Linked DNA regions of Sus scrofa. The protein of the gene in region 3 purifies or fractionates together with the protein of the main gene of each other region. This does not show direct contact. Links are inferred from orthologs where the notes say so. Each region holds a gene or a part of one and is shown on either strand. Other genes may lie near its edges.

Region 1 (6,951 bases), on a different chromosome or scaffold from region 3:
GCATTGCTGTGAGCTATGGTGTAGGTTGCAGATGCGGATCTGGCGTTGCTGTGGCTATGGTGTAGACTGGTGGCTACAGCTCCGATTCGACCCCTAGCCTGGGAACCTCCATATGCTGCAGGTGCGGCCCTAGAAAAGACAAAAAGACCCCCCCCCCCCCAAAAAAAAAAAGATTTAGTTCCCAAATAGAAGTTTTAGTGTAAGTTTGGGGAAATTCCAGTAATAGAAATATCGAATCCTTGCTGTAAAATATTTCACCAAATATAGCTCAAGATAAGTGTTTTTCCTCAAAAAGCTGATGGGTTAGAGTTCCTGCTGTGGTGCAGTGGGTTAAGGGGTCTGGTGTTGCCACAGCTATGGTGTAGGTCATAGCTGCAGCTGGGACTTGATCCCTAGCGCAGGAACTTCCATATGCCATGGATGCAGCACCACCACCCCCAACAAAAAGCTGATGGGTTAAAAGAAAAAAAAAGGGAGGTAATTTTGCATTACACATGGCAATGTAGTTAGAAATTACTCAGTTAGTAGACATAGTTGTTTTGATAAATAAGTTTAAATTTTTTTTCCTTTTATAAATTTTTAGACGTATCCAGACTGATTTTCCTCAGAATGCTGAAAACAGACATGTCCATAGCAATAAATAGATTTAGGTTAGATGATTTAGGAAAGATTTTTCCTGCTATTCTTTTGAGCATTATGAAAGCTACTCTAACAGTATTTTGTATATAAAATAGAATTTACAGATTCTCTTCTTGAAACTAACTAGGGTCACCATTTGATAACACTTCATTCACTTTTTAATTACTATTCCTATTTAACTAAGTATTGAAACTACATTTCTTTAAAAAAAAGTAAAAATATAACTAACATTCAGGTATCACTGTTTCATAATGGTTTTCCATTTCTTAATTTTCCAAATTAATGAGATTTCCTGTTCTGTCCAACTTTTTTCCAGCTTTTAAATACAGTAGGTTTATGGCCAGTTAACAGGATTGTCCTTTTATTACTTTCTGCAAATTATCTTATGAAAGCAGTACTATAGATCATTGAAATAATTTTTTTAAATAGATGGATTAGGAAGCAAGGTTTGCTGTTTCAGATGCCTCTCAAAATCGAGAGATACTCATAGTCACTGTGGGATAAAGTCTATTGTAAATGGAAAATACGTGCCCATCTTGAGAGTAATTGCAAAAGATTTTAGACTTGCATAGTTTTTTCCCTCTTTAAACCAAATCATATCTTCTGTCCTAATGTCAAACACTGCTGTGTCTCTCCAGCCAAACCAAGACAACTATGCCTTTAGCTCAGTGAGTTTTTACCTCTGTGAGTGTGTCAGAATCCCATGGGAATTTGTTTCTAAACTAGGCCAGCACTGGCCCTACTTTAGGTCTGCTGGCTCAGTCTTAGAAGGTGACAGGGCAAGTATGTTTCAGAAAAAGTTCCTCAGGGGATCCTGGTGCATAACTTTGTAGACAAACCAACCACCGCTTTAACCGACTGGATGGGTAGCCGACAAATTTCCTTTGATAAACTCGGAAATAAGATAGTCTCAGTAGCTTTGGGGCTTATAAAAACTTGGAAATGTAATACTTCTTCTTGGTCCCTTTGAATTAGACTTTCTTTGCTCTGAGAAGATCTTGAGGTTGGGTTGACTTGCTCGTGGAAGCCTGAGATGATTCTCAGAGGCTTAGCTGGAGTTGTAGTGGCGCCGCAGAAGCTTTTGTGAGAAAGCAGCTCCATGCTGCTGGCTGTCTGTTTTGAGTGTTAAAGTGAGAGAGTTTAGTTAGGAGGAATTTTATTTCTTTCTCTTCCTTTTAAAATCAAACTGTCTTTGCTTTTGTGATATTTCTAGGTAGAAATTTTAAGTGGCTAAGAAGAGATAAATTAGGCTCTTAAGGAGTCTCAGATCACTTCATTGAAACTAATCGGTTTCAAGGTTTTCTTCTTCGAAGAAGCCTTAGGAGTGGGATGGGGTGGGGACAAGGTAGAGAAGCGATTAGTCAGAAATGACACTCAGCTGAATCTTTAGATGGCAGTGTTTCTAGGATTTATCTGTGAAACTAGTACAGTACAGATGTCTGAATCTTCAGTTACACTGTGCTGAGTTTATGACTCCTAATGCTTTAAATTAATGTCAAGAGTGTATTTCATTCCTTAGGTTAGTTTAAATACAATTTAACTGTTAAATTAATGGTAAGCCAAGTACCAGCCATAGCAGGAAAGAATAATTAATAAGGAAATAAATTGTTCTCAAGAATATTTTCCTCTGATAATATTTTCTTTATAATTGTTTAAGATATATCTTGATTACCAGTTAGGATTGAATTAAATAAAAGGACTTGAATTTTATATATTGTGCATTTCACTCAGATTTACCACTCCCTTGAAATGTGTTTAGTTCTTTAAACAATATTCATAGACTAATGTTGAAATCAGTAAATGGAACTCAACCCAGTTGTTTTATTCTGTTAATATTAGATTTGTGTTAATACAGTGCTGACTACAATTAAAACTTATTTTGGAATTAATACTGTTTTGAAATATATTTTAGATATACCAGTATATCCAGAGTCGCTTTTATCGGTCTCCAGAGGTGCTACTGGGAATGCCTTATGACCTTGCTATCGACATGTGGTCCCTTGGGTGTATTTTAGTTGAAATGCACACTGGAGAACCTCTGTTCAGTGGAGCCAATGAGGTATGTGATGGATCGCTTTAAAAATTGTTTCTCTTTTCATGGTTTCTTTTTGTTTTTAATCTCTGACAGTGTAATATGAGAGTTGTTTAGAGGAAAAGATGTCTATTTTACCAACTTAGTCATTCAGGTGTTAGGTCAGTTTTGAACATATTTTATCCATTTTTAATTTTTTCAGTTATCATGTAATGGTGAGTTTAGAATTATGAGATGGAATGTGAGATCTTTCATTCTGCTAATGGAGAACGATAAATTAGATTGGCACATGTTAAGTACTTTGATATAAATTTTACAGATTTTAAGTAAAATTTTCAAGAAAAAAATAATCTTGAAGAAATGAGGGCCTCCCTGAAAACAATGCAAACATCCGTGTAAAACTTTGACAGTATGATTTGAAATAATGCATGACCAGTAGGGTTGATGGATGTTTGATCTGAATAATTTCGGGTAAGTTAGGACTGTAGAATTTTAGAGCTACAGACTAAGTATAATTCTTCTAGTCTGCAGGTTTTCCGTCTGCGTTCTTGGATGGTTTCGAAGGGCAGAGGCAGTGCCTGGCAAGGGGAGGAGGGCAAGAGGGAGAAAGCCCAAGCTCCCTTACAGTCAGAGGAATTGGGCGTTCATTGGTTTTAAAACTATTTGCTTGTGGGGTTCTGTTGTTTTTTGTTTCTTTCTTTCTTTTTTGGCCACCCCAGGGAACATGGAGTTCCTGGGCCAGGAGCCAGATCCTAGTCACAGTTGTGACCAACACTACAGCGGCAGCAATGCTGGGTCCTTTAACCCACTGTACTGGGCCGAGAATCGAACCTGCATCCTGGCACTGCAGAGACACTGCCGATCCTGTTATGCCACATTGGGAACTTCTGTTTTTTGTTTCTTTAAGAGAAGTTAACCATTGCAGATCAGTCCATTCATTTATACATGAGAAAAGAAAGATGGGATTCCCCCTGTGGCTCAGGGGGTTGAGAACCCAACATAGTGTCCCTGAGGGTGCAGGTTGGATCCCTGGCCTGGCTCAGTGGGTTAAGGGTCCAGCTTTGCCATGAGCTGTAGCATAGGTCACGGGCGTGGCTCAGATCCCATGTGGCTCTGGCGTAGGCTGGCAGCTGCAGCTCTGATTTGACCCCTAGTCCAGGAACTTCCGTATACCACAGGTGAGGCCCTTAAAAGAGAGGGAAAAAAAAGACTAACAAAATGTAATAAATTGTACTGGGTTATACAGCTCTTTAATAGCTAGTGTCAGAAACCTGTCCCTTCCTCTTGCCTTTAATTCAATTCACTGTAGCTAGTGAGCTGCTCTTTTCGAGTAACTACCATAGTGTAAAAAATTTGTTGTTGTTTTTGGTCATTTTAGGGCCGCACCCTCAGCATATAGAACTTCCCAGGTTAGGGCTTGAATCGGAACTGTAGTTGTAAGCCTACACCACAGCCACAGCTATGCAGGATCCAAGCCGCATCTGCAACCTACACCACAGCTCACAGCAGTGCCAGATCCTTAACCCACTGATCGAGGCCAGGGATCCAATCCGCGTCCTCGTGGATACTAGTCGGATTCGTTACCACTGAGCATAGCAGGAGCTCCCTGTTTTTCTTTTAGTCATAAAGAATATTACCCTCTTGTCACCTTTTCATGGGCATCTGAAGCTTCAGTGACTTCCACCCCACTCATGGTGGAAGTCACAGTCCTTTGAGTAGCTCGGAAAGCGCCCCGCCCCGCCTGTTCTCTCTCCCACCTGCCCTGCCGCCTCCCCAGCTCTCTCTGGCCCAGCCACATTGCCTTGGCGCTCTCCCGGGCCTGCCCTCACTGCCTTTAGGTTTTGCTTTGCTGTCACCTTCTCGGTGAAGCCTTTCCTGGCACCCTTTTTTTTTTTTTTTGCTGTTTCTAGGGCTGCTCCCGCAGCATATAGAGGTTCCCAGGCTAGGGGGCGAATTGGAGCTGTAGCCACCGGCCTACGCCAGAGCCACAGCAACGTGGGATCCGAGCTGCATCTGCAACCTACACCACAGCTCAAGGCAACGCAGGGTCCTTAACCCACTGAGCAAGGCCAGGGATCGAACCTGCAACCTTATGGTCCCTAGTCAGATTTGTTAACCACTGAGCCACAATGGGAACTCCTGGCACCCTATTTTAAGTTGCAGTTCCTTCTGACTCCTCATCCCCTTTTAATTTTCTTCATGGTTCTTAGACAGATCTAATAAATTTTACTATGTATTTATTTGTTCCTTGGCGATCTCTTCCTCTATGATAGAAACTTTGGGGCAGGGATTTTTGTCTCTTTTGTTTACTGCTGAGTTATAGTGGGCATGGTTTCTATCATATAATAGACACTTGATCTGTTGAATGAATCTGCACTTAAAAAAATACTTTTATTAGGTCCACACTTTAGTAAACCTTTTGTGTGGGGTTATTTAACTAAAACTCTCCCAAAACTTAAAAGTTTAAAAACTCCCTCCAGTCATTCCTTATTCTCCATTGGATCCATGACCACTTGCCATCCCACAGATGTATGTGTTTACTTAATTGTCTGCCCGCCCCTCTGTGGAATGTTGGGTTTCGGGAAGGCCGGGACTTTATCTCTTTTGTTCATTATTATATGCTTAATGCCCAGAGGAGTGCCTGACACAGGAGATGCTTAAGTTATTTATTATTTATTATTTGTGAATGAATGAATTGATGAGCAGAAGTAGGATGGACTACAGTAGAAATTACAGGTTTTTTTATTTTTATTTTAATACAGGTAGATCAGATGAATAAAATTGTGGAAGTTCTGGGTATTCCACCTGCTCATATTCTTGACCAAGCACCAAAAGCAAGAAAGTTCTTTGAGAAGTTGCCAGATGGCACTTGGAACTTAAAGAAGACCAAAGATGGAAAACGGGTAAAAATAAGGGAATATTTTTTTGAGCAGTCACATTTCTTTCATTGAGCTGTCTTTATAGCATATTTTGTTATTTACTTGAAATCAGTGTTACTGGTATCAGTTATTAACAGTAGTTCCATTGATAACTTAGGTACATATTTTCTTCACAAGTTGATTATAGTTTGACCTGAACTGTGTGTATGGACCAGCGTTTGCTTATAATACTCAGAATTTTCTTTGAAGCTTCATTTTGTCTGCCTTTCGTGGCAGCTGATCAAATCACCATGTCCTGTGTCAACAGTAGAATCAGTGACTTTTGTTTCTCATAGTTTGGGTATATAGTGAAGTCACAGGTATAACAGTTCTGCAGCTGTGAACATCAAAATTCATAATTGCAGTAAATGGCTTTTTTTTTTTTTTTTTTTTTTTAAGATGAGAGTAAAGGATTTTTGACTTAGGCAGTTTGTGACAAGAATATGAACCTACTAGGTGGTTCTTTGATTTCAGATTCCTAGCTTGGATAACAGGAATTTCACATCTCTAAAATCTTTGAAAGTGAGGTTTTTAAAACGATAATCTTTTAGGAATTTTTTTTTTAATCTGAGAACTTCTTTCAGATACATAAGCTTTGTCACTTTAATGGCGTGGATGATGACAGTTTTGCATCTTGACTTACACCTCTTTGTTTTATGTATCTGAGAATAATCATAGTTTGTAATTAGATTTTTCTGTTATAGATGAATATAGTCCATAAATATGTCATTTATATACCATCCACCTTGCGACTGTAGTTTTGCATTTTTAACACTTAAGAGATTTTATTTTGCCACCATTTTTATTTGCCCTTGCATTTTAGTGATATTGCCACCGGGTGTCATTTCCAGTGAACTGAAGGTGCTGCTTGTCTTCTGTAATTGACCTTCGTCTATGGAGTCTTTAACTTTTCATATCAAATAGTTTGTTTTTGAATATATTTTTTAAAATATATATGTAATTGTAGCTTCCATAACTGATTTGTGGCTTGCTGCATTTTGCTTTATTCTCTGAAGTTCCAGGCAGTGCAGTATCTGACAGCTAAATTATGCCTACTTTCCATGGAGAAGGAATGGAAAGTACCAAGCTGACATCCTGAGTCCTTTTGCATTTGTCCACATAGCTTATCAATCACGGCCCCTTTTCTCATTGAACCAAAACACAGCCTGGGAGTCCTTGGCTTCATCAACATTCAAGGTAGCCTCCTACCAGTTGATTTCAATTAGCATTGAGGATGCGAAGCCCCCTTTACGTTTCTCTCTCTCTCTCTCTGTGATACCGGCTACTACTTCTTTCTCCAATTTGAGGTTTTGTTGCTCTCTCTCTCTCTCTTTTTTTTCTTTTTAGAGCCACATGTGCGGC
Region 2 (7,051 bases), on a different chromosome or scaffold from region 3:
GGCACTCCAGCCGTGAGAACTTAGTATCGTTATTTTTGTTTGCTTTTGCTTTGTTTTAGGACGGTCTGGTCTATGCAGTTGAGTTCTCCCACCGTTCCGGCCGTGACCTCATTAACCTGGCCAAGAAGAGGACCAACATCATTCCCGTCATCGAAGATGCTCGGCACCCGCACAAATACCGCATGCTCATCGGTGAGGGGCCCAGGGCTTGGCCCTGGTGGGGGTAGGACAGGTCGCTCCAGGTTTCCTGGATGCGGCCTCCAGAGCCCTGATTTGGATGGAATTGGAGTGGATGCACAGGCCTCTCGAGTCTACAGGAATGGAAAGGGTGGAGAGAGCCCGGTGAGGCTGTGGAGGTGGCCGTCCCACTTCATGTGTCTGGTACCCTCGGAGGGCCCTCCCCCCCAGGAACCCTCCCCCGTCCTTCCTGCCTCCCTCCAAAACACGGTACCTTTCACACTGCCCCCGGCTTGTGTGTAACCTCCTCCTTCAGAGGTCCTCACCCTCCTCTGGGGAGATCATACCCCAGAAAGCACAACTGAGCGTGGCCTGGCCCAGAGGAGCCCGCTGTGAATGTCAATGACCTTGGTTTTTAAAAAAAAAAAAAAAAAAAAAAAAAAAATGCAAAAATTCAGAAGCATAGTGTAAAAATGGAGTGCCTTATAAACCACCCCCAGAGGTAACCGATATGAACATTTGATGTCTGCTTTTCCTGGTTTTTGAAAGTCAGTTTTCATTGCACCATCTTTTCCATTTTTTTTTTTTTTTTTTTTTTTTTTTGACCCACACTGCCTTAAAAATACTGCTTGCATCATCCCCCTGGTTTTTCTTTCTGTGAGTTTTTCCCCGGTGCCTTCATGCCATACCCCTTAGCCTGTGGCTTGTTTTTGTGTGACAGTCCTGCAGACTCTCTTGCCTGTACGTGCTCACCTTTACTTGCCTTTTTGATGACGTGTCTGTCTCCCCCCCAGACCCGGGAGCGTCTCGAGGGCAGGGTCCGGGTCTGACTCGTCTCTCTGTCCCCCACGCCCAGCCCGGGGCTGGCCACAGAGTAGGTGGCAACATGGTTTATAAGAGGAATGAGTGAACGGTGTGATTGAGGGTTTTTTTGGCCCATCTTGGGGGCACTGTGGAGGGAGGGGGATCAATGGGGGGAAGTGAGACTGGAAGCAGGGAGGACTCTGCCCGGAACCTGCTGGTGATGGGGCACAGGCCCCGGGGAGGAGCTGGGACGATCCTGTGGATCCAGCTTGTAAGTGTTACTTCTTTCTCCTAGCGATGGTGGATGTGATCTTTGCTGACGTGGCCCAGCCAGACCAGACTCGGATTGTAGCCCTGAATGCTCACACCTTCCTACGCAATGGAGGACACTTTGTGATCTCCATTAAGGTGCGGGGCATAGAGGAGTCTAAGATGGGGTGGCAGTATCTTCTCTCTATACCTGCCATGTAGCCAGTTAAAACTCGGGCGGGGGCGGGGGGGGGCTTCCCTCCGTCCTAATCCAGTCAGTGTGTTCCCTACCCAGCTCCCTATAAACCACCCAATCAAATAGCAAGTAATGAAAAATGTCTGCAAAACTAAAAACCTTAGGATTTAAAGAGGCAGTAGACCGTCGTGGTTCAGTGCGTGATCCCCACGTATGAGTTTGAATCCCAGTGTGTGTCTTTGAGCAGGTGACCTATATATTATGCCTGTTGCTTCACTTGTGAAATAGCAATGTTAGTCCTAACTCTTTTAGGGTTGATGTAAGGACTAAATTTCTCAATATATGTATGGAGTGTTTAGCCAAGAACCTGGTATAAATACCAGATAAATGCTAGGTACATTTTTAAAAACGTTTTATTTTGAAATACAGAGACCTCTCCAGTGTACTTTCAACCAGATTGAGCCTTTCCTAACCACTTGCTGCATTTGTTTTAGTAATCTCAGCTGCATTATTGCGATTGTTAAAGAGGAAATGGGGGCGGGGAGGGGGGGAAACCAGAGTGGAAATTTTAAACACTTGCCTTTAGATAAATAGAGCTCTGCTGAAGCCTTCCTGTTTCAAACCCAAACTACTTAAAAACTTACCTAACAAAGTCTTTCCCTACATTTCCAAAGCCTATTTTCCAACTTAAAAATTCTACTGGTTTGAAAGAGCACAACAAAGGGAAAACAGCCCCAAACCCTTGCTGCAGACTTCAGACCCTTTTTCTTCTTCAGGCCAACTGCATTGACTCCACAGCCTCTGCTGAGGCCGTGTTTGCCTCTGAAGTGAAAAAGATGCAGCAGGAGAACATGAAGCCCCAGGAGCAGCTGACCCTAGAGCCGTACGAAAGAGACCACGCTGTGGTCGTGGGTGTGTACAGGTAAGCAGGGGGCCCAGTAATCCACCAGAGCCGGGAGTCTCAATACTAGTTAGGAGTACCCCAAAGTGCTTGTAAGTTCTGAGTCCCCGCATCTGTTTCCTCTCACAGACCACCCCCCAAGGTGAAGAACTGAAGCCCAGTGCCATCTGGATCGCGAGAGACTGTGTTGCTACTGTTACACGCGTGTTTTTCTATTAAAAGACTTATGCGTCCTTCTTGTTTGCCGCTGATTGCTTGGCGACCGCTCTTAACGGGGCGCATGCGCCCTTGGTCTACTTGCGTGGTGGGGGCGGGCACTCTCCCGGTGGCACCGCGCGTGCTCGTTTCTTAGCGGGCTCTTACGCAGCCGTAACTTGGATTTCGGCGCTTGGGCGGGGTTCATAGCTTGCTGTGCTGGGAGACCAGTAAGCGCCTCCGAGCGCAGGCGCAGAGTGTTGCCCTGGGTCACGTGAGGAGAAACAGCTTGGGGGGGTGGGGGCGGAGTCCAGGGCGGGGGGGCCGGTTTGTTGTGGTCGCCATTTTGCTGGTTGCATTACTGGGTAATCGGGGCCCTGGCTCGCCGCGTCCGCCGGATACTTTCAGCCAGTGGGCAGGTCTGAGCTCGGGCTTCCCGAGCAGTTTGAGTTCCCTTGCTCGCGGCCTCAGGTAACAACGCGGCTATGGACGGAGCGGCACGCGCTCGCGGGGAGGAGGGTAGTACGGGACCCGCCCTGCCTGCGTCGCCGCGAGACTTAGCACGAGGCCGAGGGAGGAGAGGAGGGGGACGGCAGGCAGGTGCAGGCCTTGCCTGGCTATTCATAGTTGGATTCCTGGAAGGGGCCGAGCCCGAGCGGAGAGAGCTGTCTCGGGAGGGAAGCTGGGAGGGGGTAGCGGGGCCCCGCTCCCGCCCTTTGTTTGGGCTCGGCTCCGCCGGCCGCATCGTCGTCGCCTAGCAACAGCTGTCCTGGACTGTGATTGGTTGAGCTCTTGGCAGTAGTGACCAATGGCACGGTTGTTGCCATGGTAGGTGTGGACTGCCAGGTTCGGTCCAGCCCCGCCCGCCGGGTTCCCCCTGGCCGGGGCGGGCCCCCAGGGTGGAGGGCGGGACGCCGGGGTCCCCGGGGGCAGGTGGCTGCGCTGGGCGGGGCCGGCGGGGCGAGGGTTAACCCGCCCCTCCCCCGTCCACCTGCTTTCCCCTTCCCCCGCTTGCCCCGGGCTGACCCTCGTCTCCTCCTCTCCCCGCCCCCAGCGGCGGCGGCTGCTGTTGTCACCCACCCGGCCGCCTGTCCCGCTTGCCCTCCCCGCCGCGGGGCTTGCCGGGCCGGCCGGGCCGGGACAGGCGGCCGTCTTCTCACCACCGCTACCGCCGCCATGCTGGCCGCTCGCCCACACCACTGGGGGCCCCACCGCGCCCCAGCCCCCCGTGGGCCCCGCGCCAGCCCTGACCCGGGTAGGGGGCGGAGGCTGGGAGAGGGTCCTGGTGTGGGAGGGCCCCTCTGGTGGGGAAGAGGTTTTGTGGGGGAGCTCCAAGAGAGAGGGATCGTGGAGTGCAAGGCTTGACATAGGAGAAAAGGAATGACATGGGAGAAGGCCCGTGACGAGAGGATTTTGGTGTGGCAGATATTGTGGAAGGGGAGAACTCTGTAATATTTGGGAAATTTGGCCGCGGGGGCCTTCTAGGAATGGGCACCGTTGTGGATTGACCCTGGTGTAGAGAAGTGACTGGAGAAAGAGCCCTGACAGAAATACTGGTTGGGGAGGTTGAGGGTAGGATCCATGTAGGAGAGAGAAGGACGATCGGTGGGAAGAGACGCCTCCCCCTTGTTTCCATCCGAAGGAGTGGGGCCTTGATTGGGAGGGGGACCTTGGAATAATCTGGGAAGGGGGAGCCAGGCTGTGACATGGGGGAACCAAAATATGGTTTGACAAATTACATGAGGGGCAGTCCCCGATGGGAGAAAAGATAGGGAAGAAGTCTTGACAGATCTGGGGAGGGGCTCCTGGGAAGGGTGTGCCGGGTGAGAACGCCATAGGGGTAGGACTCTTAGGAAGAGGTCCTCAGATAACCTTGGTGTGGGCAGGAGGTCCCTGAGGACCCTGATCCCCAGGGCCTGCAGAGGATTCTGCTGTGGTTTGGAGGGGGCCCAGAAGACTCAAGTGGTTTGGGAGGATTCCGACTCCAGAGTTCTTTGGATTGGGGGACCTACTGGGAAGGGTAGATTTCGAGATGGAAGGACCTTGCTGGGACGAGATCCTGACATTCAGGGAAGGACTCCAGGAGGGCAGGATCATGTGTGAGGGGCCCTGGGGAGGGCGGTGAGCAGAAATGGGAAGGAGAGTGAACCCTACCGCTCTGCTGTCTGTGGTTTCTCTCTTCTCTTCCCCCCCCCCCCCAATTATTGGTGTCTTTCTGTCCTTTCCTGTCATGGCCCATATCCCTGCCTGGCTCCCAATCATTCCCTTTTCCACGTTCCTCTCTGCCGCCTTCTTCATTTACTTTGTAACCACTTGAGGGGACCCGCTCTGCCTCCCACCTCCACTTCTCTCTTCCCCTTTTTTTATTGCCACCTGTTGCTCTGTTGTATCCTTTTCTTCTTCCCTTTGTGCCCTGCCTTCTTCTTCATGTCCCCCTCTCTCCTTCCTGGCACTGTCCCACACATCCCCTTGTTCCATGTTGTTCCCCTGCCTCCCGCCCGCTCTCAGGTCTCAGCGGCGGTGGCAGCCGAGGTGCAGGATGCGAGAAGGCGCCCCCCGGCCGGGCTCCCGCTCCAGGCCTCGCTCCCCTGCGGCCCTCTGAGCCCACCATGGCCGTCCCACCGGGCCATGGTCCCTTCTCTGGCTTCCCGGGGCCCCAGGAGCACACGCAGGTACGCGTTCACCTGGCTCCTCACCTGCCTGGGGTCGGGGGAGGCTGGGATAGGAGTCTTGGAGCCAAAAAGATGGTACGCTGTCTAGGACAATCTCTGGGGTCCATGAAGGGTGCCAAGGGAGTGGAAGATATAGAGGAGTTGCTGGCAGTCGAGGTTTGGAGAGCCTGAGTTCAAATCCTGGCCCGGGGGGTCGTGTTACTTAGGTAGGTTCTCCCTGCTTCAGTTTCCACTTCTGTCAAATGCAGCCTATAATTACACTTGCCTCCCACGGTTATTGTGTGGCTTGAACACGTTAATGAAATGCAGTTGGAAATGCTCTGAACAGTATCTGGCACATAGTAAATACTCAATAAATGTTCACCAAAGGGAAAAAAAGTCCAGAGAGGAAGATCTAGAGGGGGTAAAAGAGGAGGAGGGTTGAGCCTAAAGGGTCTTGGAGTCAGCAGGGCCTGGGGATGCAGGTCGGGAGCTTCAGGGGTAGAGACTGTTAGGTTTTGAACCGTAGAATCTGAAGCGGGTTGGAGCGGGAGGTCCAGGGTGCTGGATCCAGATCCAAGACCCTTAGGATGAAAAACTGGGCAGAGCTGCACAGGGTGGAGGGTGAGGGTTGGGATGGCCCCAGGGAATGAGGGTAAAGCAAGATAGGGGCCCTCAAGGGGGAATGCCCAGAAGGGGTGGTTCCAGGTGAAGGACTGGGCGGGCAGAGCCCCAGGTTTCTCTCAGATCTCCCCCACGGAGGTTTAGGAAAGAGCGAAAGGGATGGGATGAAAGGTCCGGGGTAAACCGTTCACTCCGTCCCTCTCTGAGCAAATTTCTAATGAACATCTGTGTGCCAGGCCCTGTTCCAGACACGGGACATAAAGCAAGAAGGAGATCAAGTCTCTGTCCTTGGGGAGTTTCCATTCTAGCGGGGTGGTCAGACCATGACCACATGGTCCTGCCTGTGGTCACGAGGAACCAGCTGCCCAGATAGGGCTCCCGCTTGAGGTCGGAGGGGAAGGCCTGGCCTCAGTGCCCACCTGGCCCCCCGCCCTCCCCCCAGGTACTGCCTGATGTGCGGCTGCTGCCGCGGAGGTTGCCCCTGGCCTTCCGAGACGCGACCTCGGCCCCGCTGCGCAAGCTCTCCGTGGACCTCATCAAGACCTACAAGCACATCAATGAGGTGGGCGGGGTGGGGGCCCGGGCTGGGTGCGGAGGGGTCCTGGCCTGCCAGCACAGGCCGCTCACCAGTCCGCATCTCCTGGCCGGTCCCCGGCAGGTTTACTATGCGAAGAAGAAGCGGCGGGCCCAGCAGGCGCCACCTCAGGACTCGAGCACCAAGAAGGAGAAAAAGGTCCTGAACCACGGTTACGACGACGACAACCATGACTACATCGTGCGCAGTGGCGAGCGCTGGCTGGAGCGCTACGAAATCGACTCCCTCATTGGCAAAGGCTCCTTTGGCCAGGTGTGGGATGACCCCGACCCCAGCCGTGCTCCAGGGCTTGGGAGGAGCGGGCACCACTGGTGCTGACCCCCACAGCCAGCGGTTCAGTGGCTTCGCGTTTCGTGCTGGGCCACTCACCAGCACGGTCTGGTTTCCCTGTGCCACGGTTTCTGTAAGAGCGCCTCAGTAACAGGCCCTCCACGTAAGGTTGTTGTGTTTTCTCATGTCCAGCGTTGACACGAGTGTCTGACGATTGGCGAGCTTGCAATTTGGAAGTATTAGTATCGTTGATGGTGGTATGGGTGGGTCTCCTTGGCTGGAGGGCGACGAGTGGTACCTGGCTCTGTGCCTCGCGCCCCTTTGCCCTCGTCTTGTGACGCGCCCTGCCCTGGCAGGTGGTGAAGGCCTATGACCATCAGACGCAGGAG
Region 3 (7,051 bases):
AAGACTGGTCTTTTACCAGACTGATGCTGAAGCGTGTGCATTTCAGCTCATCCAGAGTCTGCTTCTGTAGCTGCTCAGTGATCAGGGTTATCATGATTCTCCCCGGGATTTGACTTGCACACTGTGGAGCAAATGATGGATGTCTTCCCTGTCGTTCTTCCAGACCTCACTCGTGAGCCGTCTTCTGCCACTGCAGCACCATTCTAGCACCATTGGGACTTCCCTCTCCAGTCATGCCTGCTGAGTCTGCCAATTATAGAGGGACCAGCCCCAAGTGATATTAGAGATGTACCTAGTCCAGAGATAGAAAATGCATGGCACACATACCACAGCATCCCTATGTCAGGCCTCTGGCAGACATCATTAATTGACAACAGCTCTTTCATGCTAAGCCTAAACATGGCCTCAGAAACATTCTCAACTTGGTAGTCCAGATAACCAGTAAAATGAAATGGACTTGGTAAGCAAATTGAAACCTATTTGCCACTCCTAACCTGGTTCATGCCCTGCTCTGCATATCCAGAACACTGGCACCACTTAGAAAACAGCTCAGGAGTTCCCGTCGTGGCACAGTGGTTAACGAATCCGACTAGAAACCATGAGGTTGCGGGTTCGATCCTTGCCCTTGCTCAGTGAGTTAACGATCCGGCGTTGCCGTGAGCTGTGGTGTAGGTTGCAGATGCGGCTCGGATCCCGCGTTGCTGTGGCTGTGGTGTAGGCTGGCAGCTACAGCTCCAATTCGACCCCTAGCCTGGGAACCTCCATATGCCGCGGGAGCAGCCCAAGAAATGGCGAAAAGACAAAAAAAAAAAACAAAAACAAACAAACAAACAAACAAAAAACCAGCTCAAAGGAGAGAGACGCCCAAATTGTTATTTCTGTCCTGATTAGTCCAATATTTTATCTTCTAGTCATAAGCAAAGAGAGGTAAACTTTTCCTAAACATCAGAAATATTAATAGGGAACAAAGAGGAACAGTGGTTGTAGGAATGAATTTCTGCTTCAAAACAATCAGAGTAAACAAGGTATTATGTTCTCCTTAGCCTCAAGAGCTGCTATCTTATTATTCTTCTCCAACAGATACTGTACATATTCTCTCATAAGAGAATAAGGAAATGGTACCAGGGTGACTCCATTTACATTTCAACTCTAGAGAGATTGAAAACAACTCTGACTTCACTCAACTAAGTTTTTAGCCTGATCTGACTCAAAGACCATGAATACAATTAATCAAGACTCTTTCTCATGGTCAATTACAGCAGAAGCAAACAAATTCTATCAGAGAACAGGCTTCAAACCCACACAACTGCCTGAGGGGCCTTGCTCAAGGGAGGAGGGGAAGTTAACCTAACATTTCCAAACTGTTCTGCCTATTCCCAGAAATGACCAGCAGGCAGACGGCACACCAGACGTCTAAGTAACATTTGCTAGCAGATACAACTATCAAGAAATCAAGGAGTTCCCATTGTGGCGTAGAGGAAATGAATCCAACTAGGAACCATGAGGTTGTGGGTTCAATCCCTGGCCTCACTCAGTGTGGCCAGCAGCTGTACCTCTGATTAGACCCCTAGCCTGGGAATCTCCATATGGCCCTAAAAAGCAAAAAAAAAAAAAAAAAAAAAAAAAAAAAAAAGAAATCAAATATGGGTCCGATTGGCAAATCTAACCTTTCTTTGCCTCAGTTTACTCATAGGTAAAATGGGCAGAATAACCACACTCTGTCACTGGAAAAATATTATGCCAAATATCACTATGTAAAAAGTATACATCCAAGCCTATACAAATCAGGAGTCCACACAAACTGCCGGGTTTCTCATCCCTCCTATTTGATCTTCTACAAACCCTCAGAATGCCAAAAGTGCTAATACCAACATGAAGAAGGCAATTGGGTTGATCTACTTGGCTGGATCCCAACCTCCTTCACCTGCACACCAAGAGAAGCCCAAAAGGGTTGTTCTGTGACCTTGAGGGCAGACCACTCTCTACCTAGGCAGAAAAAGAGGGGATCCTCTCTACCCACTCTCACCTCAAAAGAAGGCAGACCACAAGGAAATGCAAAGAAATACACCTTCGTGTACTTGGAGTTTAAGGGAAAAAAGGTGTTGGAGAAGTCAGTCATCACTATGGCTAAATAACATTTTCATGCATAATTATTACTACCACTCCGAACAGAGTTCCAGCTTCCTGGGAGCTCCTTTCGGCTGCTTCCCCTATGTTCTTGTAGAAGCTAAAGCTTATATCACTTCTGCTCTTGGTTTCTTAACTCTGCCCTCAAAAATCAACCAGAGAGGGAACCTAACTGCAGGCTTTTACCCCCAGACACCCCAGGCCTCAAGCTGACCAGCCATGAGGAGCAGGGAGTGAAGCAAAACTCTTTTAAGCTCTTCATGAGGCATTTAGCCAAACAGCAAACTTCTAGCCCTCTCTGGGATCAAGGGAAGAGAGTGATTTTGTGTTTTTCTGCATTTTAATTGTTGGGATGTGGCCACACACGGCGGTAATTGGAACAATGCAACTACCACCACGCAACTGATACTCTCTGTCTGAGTTTCCTAAAACAGGCCAGGCTGAGAGGGGGAACAGAACGGAAGCCATAAGGAATCAAACCAGGACACAAAAGAAGGCAAACCAGCTCCACGAGGGGCCTCCTCTTTCTCAGGCAGGCATAGAAAAAAGTGTAAGAAGCCCTCTCTTGCCGCCTTCCTTCCCCTTCCATTTTGTGTATCTGAGGGGCAGACAGCCCTGAACGTTCACTAAACAAGTTAAAACTTCTCAGCTTAACAACTGGCACGGGGCTCAGCCCTACACAGAGCAGCAGGCGGCTAGGCCCTCCTCCAAACCCCACCAGGCCCAACTCTCAATCCAGGGTTTCTCTCCACCATCACCCCCCCAAATAAAGGTTGGACCCCTGCCACCCCGACCCCATGGGTTGGCAGTAATCCCTGACATTAGGGTTTCAGGGATGCTGAGGTTGTGCTGAAACCTGGAGAACCTAGGATCAAGTGAGGCCAAAGGGGAGGAGAGTCAAAAACCCATGGGGACCTTCCCCCTAGGTCCCAGTCCCACAGCTCTGGGGGAGACTAAGGAAAACATGAGGCAGGCATGGAGGTGCATGAACAGGTATGTAGGGACCTGACTGCTCTTCCTCCATATGGCACTGGTGGGGATAAGGGTGACAAGTGGGGAGCACCCCTCCCCCCACCCCAATGAAGAAGCAAAAGGCTAGGCCCCCCTTCCAATCTTCAACCTCTCCCTCGGTTGCCCTGCCTGTCCCGGCGGGGTGGGGCATGGGGCGTCCGCTGCCGCCCCCCCCCCCGGGGGGGCGCCAGGGCACGCTCATGGGGGCTGTCGCTCGTCTCTTCCCAATCAGCTCCCATCACCTGGCCGCGGGAAGCGAACTCAGGACGCAGAGGATGGAGAGGGTCTGGGACTTAGCACTCCGCCACCCCCTCCCCCACCGGGTCCCGTGCTCTCCCCGCGGAGGCGGCCAGCGAGGCCCTGCCTCGCAGGCGGCCAGGCTGGGGGAGGGGAAAAAGGGAAAGAGGGAGGGACGGTCGAGGTGCCCGCCCCGAGGCCACAGCGCCACCTGCCCTCCGCCACCTACCGCGGCTCCTCCAGCTCCCAGGGCCGCGGCCAGAGCAGCTCTGAGCGCTCGGTTCGCCCCACGGTGCCCTTAAAAGGCGCCGGAGCGAACCAACGGGCCCCTGAGGAGAGCGGGGAGATCACCCCGATATGCAGAATCCCCCGAACCGTCCGCGGGGGCTCGAGCACCGCGTCGTTTATCTCTCAAAGCCCTTCTTGGATGGCGCTGTCGGGAAGAGGCCCGGCTCTTTGACTTAGCTACAAGGGTGGGTTCCTCATTATCGAGTCACCCCCTCCAACATATTGGAGAAGGTGGACTGACCCAGTTGGAGGCAAACGTCGAAACCCGCGGGGGAGGCCGCGTCGGCTGAAGGTAAACAAAGCCATCGCCTTCGCCCTCTATTACTACATAGATCCACTTACAGCCCTCAACTCGGTTCCAGTAGTGTAAAAGAACTAATTCAGGTTCCTCTCACCTGCTCTTCTGTCCCACCCTCTACAGCCGCCTTTCTGAAGGAATCCCCTTTCTCCTAGCAGAGGACCCGTCCGCGGCGTGAAGGCTTCTGGGAAGTGTAGTCCAAGCGCCGATTAGGGCCTGCTCTGAGTCCCAGAGCCCCTCTCCCAGCTGCCAGATCGGCTCGAGCCTTAAGAATCCAGGACTTATAACGGTTGCGGGGCCGTTCCTACTTGGTTCTGTAATTAGCCGTTACCCAAAATATCGTAAAGCTGACCAGGGCCCAGGGCTGTTCACTCCTCCTCCCCTACGCACCCCCCCCCAGCAGGATGAGGTAATGGGATTGTGATTATGACATCATAGGCGGTTCAGTTGCTTGCGTGGGGGAGGGGGAAGGGGGAGGGGAAAATTATGGTGGTTACAGCTGGACCACTTTCCTTTAGACAGAAAGGGAGGGAGCAAACAGACAGATGAGGGGAAAATATTGATGGCTCTGTTTTCTCCTCAGGAAGAGGAAACCACCTTTTACAAAATCTCCACCACTCCCACCACCTCCCACCTCAGCCAAAGTTTCAGTCCTTTTTTAAGAATCTGAATATAGTAGTAGGTGAAGAGGTTGTGGAAAAGCTGGGTGATTTCTGGCTCTTATGTCAATTTGAGTCTCAGCTATCGAGAAGGTTTAGAGAGACGGTAAAAAAATGGGAAGATGGGGTGGGTTAAACAATGCCTTCGTGTTATGATCTCTTAAAGGACAGAGTTTTAGACTTCATTTTTAATCGATTGGAAAGAAGTACTGCAAGTAATTTCATTGTCACATTCAGCAACAAGTCCTCTGAAAGACATGTTTTCCCTAAATATTTTGTGCTCCACTCAAGTTTGGGACAGATAATTGTAATCAGCTAGAACGTAGAGCCAGTGGTGGGGATCTTCCTCACAGATCCAGGAAAGGGAGGAGGCAGGAGCCACCAAATCTGCAAGCTGAAAAAGAAAAGTAGAGGGAAAGTGATGTATTTATGAAGAAAATGGGGGGGGGAATATACTGCACACTTGCTTGCCCTGCACATTTCCCTTAGCAAAAGAAGGCACAGGGGCATGAAGTACAAGAGACATGGTTTTCCTGGAGCTCCTGTTGGTGGTGCAGCAGAAACAATCCAACTAGGAACCATGAGGTTGGGATTACATCCCTGGCCTTGCTCAGTGGGTTAAGAATCTGGCATTGCCATGAGCTATGGTGTAGCTTGCAGACGCGGCTCAGATCCTGCGTTGCGTGGCTCTGGCTATGGCCAGCAGCTGTAGCTCTGATTCGACCCCTAGCCTGGGAATCTCCACAAGCCCCAATTGAGGCCCTAAAAAGCCAAAAAAAAAAAAAAAAAAAAAAAAAAAAAAGACAGACATGGTTTCCAATAACTGCTGTTGGTGGAGCACTTATGTTTCAGGCACCATGATGCATACTTTAAATGTGTATTCTCATTTTTGTTTACAATAATAAAATGAGACAAAAATCTATTTGACAGATAAAACAGCAGGAGAGGTTAAGTGACTCCCTTAACAGTGATGGACAGAGGTATTAAAAAGCAGTTGAGGAATTCTCTTGTGGTGCAGTGGGGTAAGGCACTGAAGTGGCTTGAGTTGCTGCTGTGGCATGGGTTACATCCCTGGCCCAGGAACTTCAGCATGCTGAGGTGGATGTGGGAGGAAAGCAGTCTTAGGCTCTAAAACCTCTGATCTTCACCATTAGGTGATCCCTCTTTTTATTTAATAATAAAAGACCATGCTTACTATACTTAAATGGTTGAGTAAATACTGAAAGAAACTGAGACACTTAAAACCCTCCAAGTGAGGTTTCAGGTCTCATTTCAAAGGAAGATGACACTCATTTCATCAAGTATAAAATAGCTTCCCCAGTGCAGCTCAACATCTCTCCCATTACTAACTTTAACTAGATCTCCTTATGCCACTTTTGCTTCAGGTTTTTTTTTTTTTGTTTTTTTTTTTTTTTGTCTCTTGCGTTTTCTTGGGCCACTCCCGTGGCATATGGAAGTTCCCAGGCTAGGGGTCGAATCGGAGCTGTAGCCGCCGCCTACGCCAGAGGCACAGCACTGTGGGATCCCAGCCGTGTCTTCAACCCATACGACAAGCTCACGACAACGCCAGATCCTTAACCCACTAAGCAAGGCCAGGGATCGAACCCACAACCTCATGGTTCCTAGGCGGATTCGTGAACCACTACGCCACGACGGGAACTCCCTTCAACGGTTTTTTTTTTTTTTTTTTTTTTTTTAACTCATGTCTTGCAATTTGTCCTGCTCTCTTATTTTCCTTCTTTTGTTCTTGGGCTACTACCTTGAACCCCATCATAACTCTGGCCTCCTAGGCCAGATCCCATCTCTGACCCTGCTCCAATGGATTGCAGCAGAGGATACTACCTGGGTTCCCTTCTGGTCTCCATCCAGATTCCCTGAGGGTTGCAAAGGGGAAGAATCCATTGGCTCTAAGAGATTCTCCATTCCCCACCTAGAGAGACGGTAGAGTCAAAGGAACATGAACCTCATTCACACTCTCCCTTTTCAGCCAGTGAAAGCTAAACCTCTGCAAAGTGGAGAGAGGTGGGGCTTAGTCCATCACTCAAAGAAGGAACCAGGAATAGTGCACACACCCCTCAGCCTGCAGAGGCTGGTTGGGGGGTCCCAGGAATGTAGGGCTCTTCTCCACTGCCTGATCTGGGCATCCCAGGATCGACGGCTGTACCTCCTGTTCTTGTTTGGCGTTTGAGGGTGAAGTCCTGGCAGTCGCTGTGCCCTGGCAACAACAGATTGTGTCAGACTGAGGTCAAGGTGAAGGGGCACAGCTCACTACTTACCACAGCGAATTAGGAGACGCATTAGGGATTCCCTGAGAATGAGGTAGGATCAGTGCCCTCAATCCAAAGAAAATCTTTAAACACCAAACTTCCCAACTCTCTGATATTCTTTCTTCTGGGAAGGGGAATTAGATATTCCAATGCCCGCAGAAGTC

Evidence for each region.
Region 1: the proteins of FAM53C (region 3) and DYRK1A purify together in Homo sapiens (affinity purification with mass spectrometry; 8 studies listed by BioGRID and IntAct, counting the BioPlex papers as one, with this or other methods). This does not show direct contact. The link is inferred for Sus scrofa from reciprocal best matches to the Homo sapiens genes FAM53C and DYRK1A.
Region 2: the proteins of FAM53C (region 3) and DYRK1B purify together in Homo sapiens (affinity purification with mass spectrometry; 3 studies listed by BioGRID and IntAct, counting the BioPlex papers as one, with this or other methods). This does not show direct contact. The link is inferred for Sus scrofa from reciprocal best matches to the Homo sapiens genes FAM53C and DYRK1B.

Annotation. Positions count from the first base shown.
Region 1 is NC_010455.5:201,139,655-201,146,605, forward strand, and holds part of DYRK1A (dual specificity tyrosine-phosphorylation-regulated kinase 1A), read left to right. Parts: intron 1-2,551; coding exon 2,552-2,698; intron 2,699-5,433; coding exon 5,434-5,574; intron 5,575-6,951. UniProt on the Homo sapiens protein: Dual-specificity kinase which possesses both serine/threonine and tyrosine kinase activities. Exhibits a substrate preference for proline at position P+1 and arginine at position P-3.
Region 2 is NC_010448.4:48,310,292-48,317,342, reverse strand, and holds the start of DYRK1B (dual specificity tyrosine-phosphorylation-regulated kinase 1B), read left to right. Parts: upstream 1-2,819; 5' UTR 2,820-3,347; coding exon 3,348-3,777; intron 3,778-5,030; coding exon 5,031-5,194; intron 5,195-6,239; coding exon 6,240-6,359; intron 6,360-6,455; coding exon 6,456-6,644; intron 6,645-7,018; coding exon 7,019-7,051. Other genes in the region: FBL (rRNA 2'-O-methyltransferase fibrillarin), read left to right, coding at 60-192, 1,277-1,389, 2,203-2,348, 2,457-2,481.
Region 3 is NC_010444.4:140,327,431-140,334,481, reverse strand, and holds the start of FAM53C (protein FAM53C), read right to left. Parts: upstream 3,882-7,051; 5' UTR 3,605-3,881; intron 247-3,604; 5' UTR 95-246; coding exon 17-94; intron 1-16.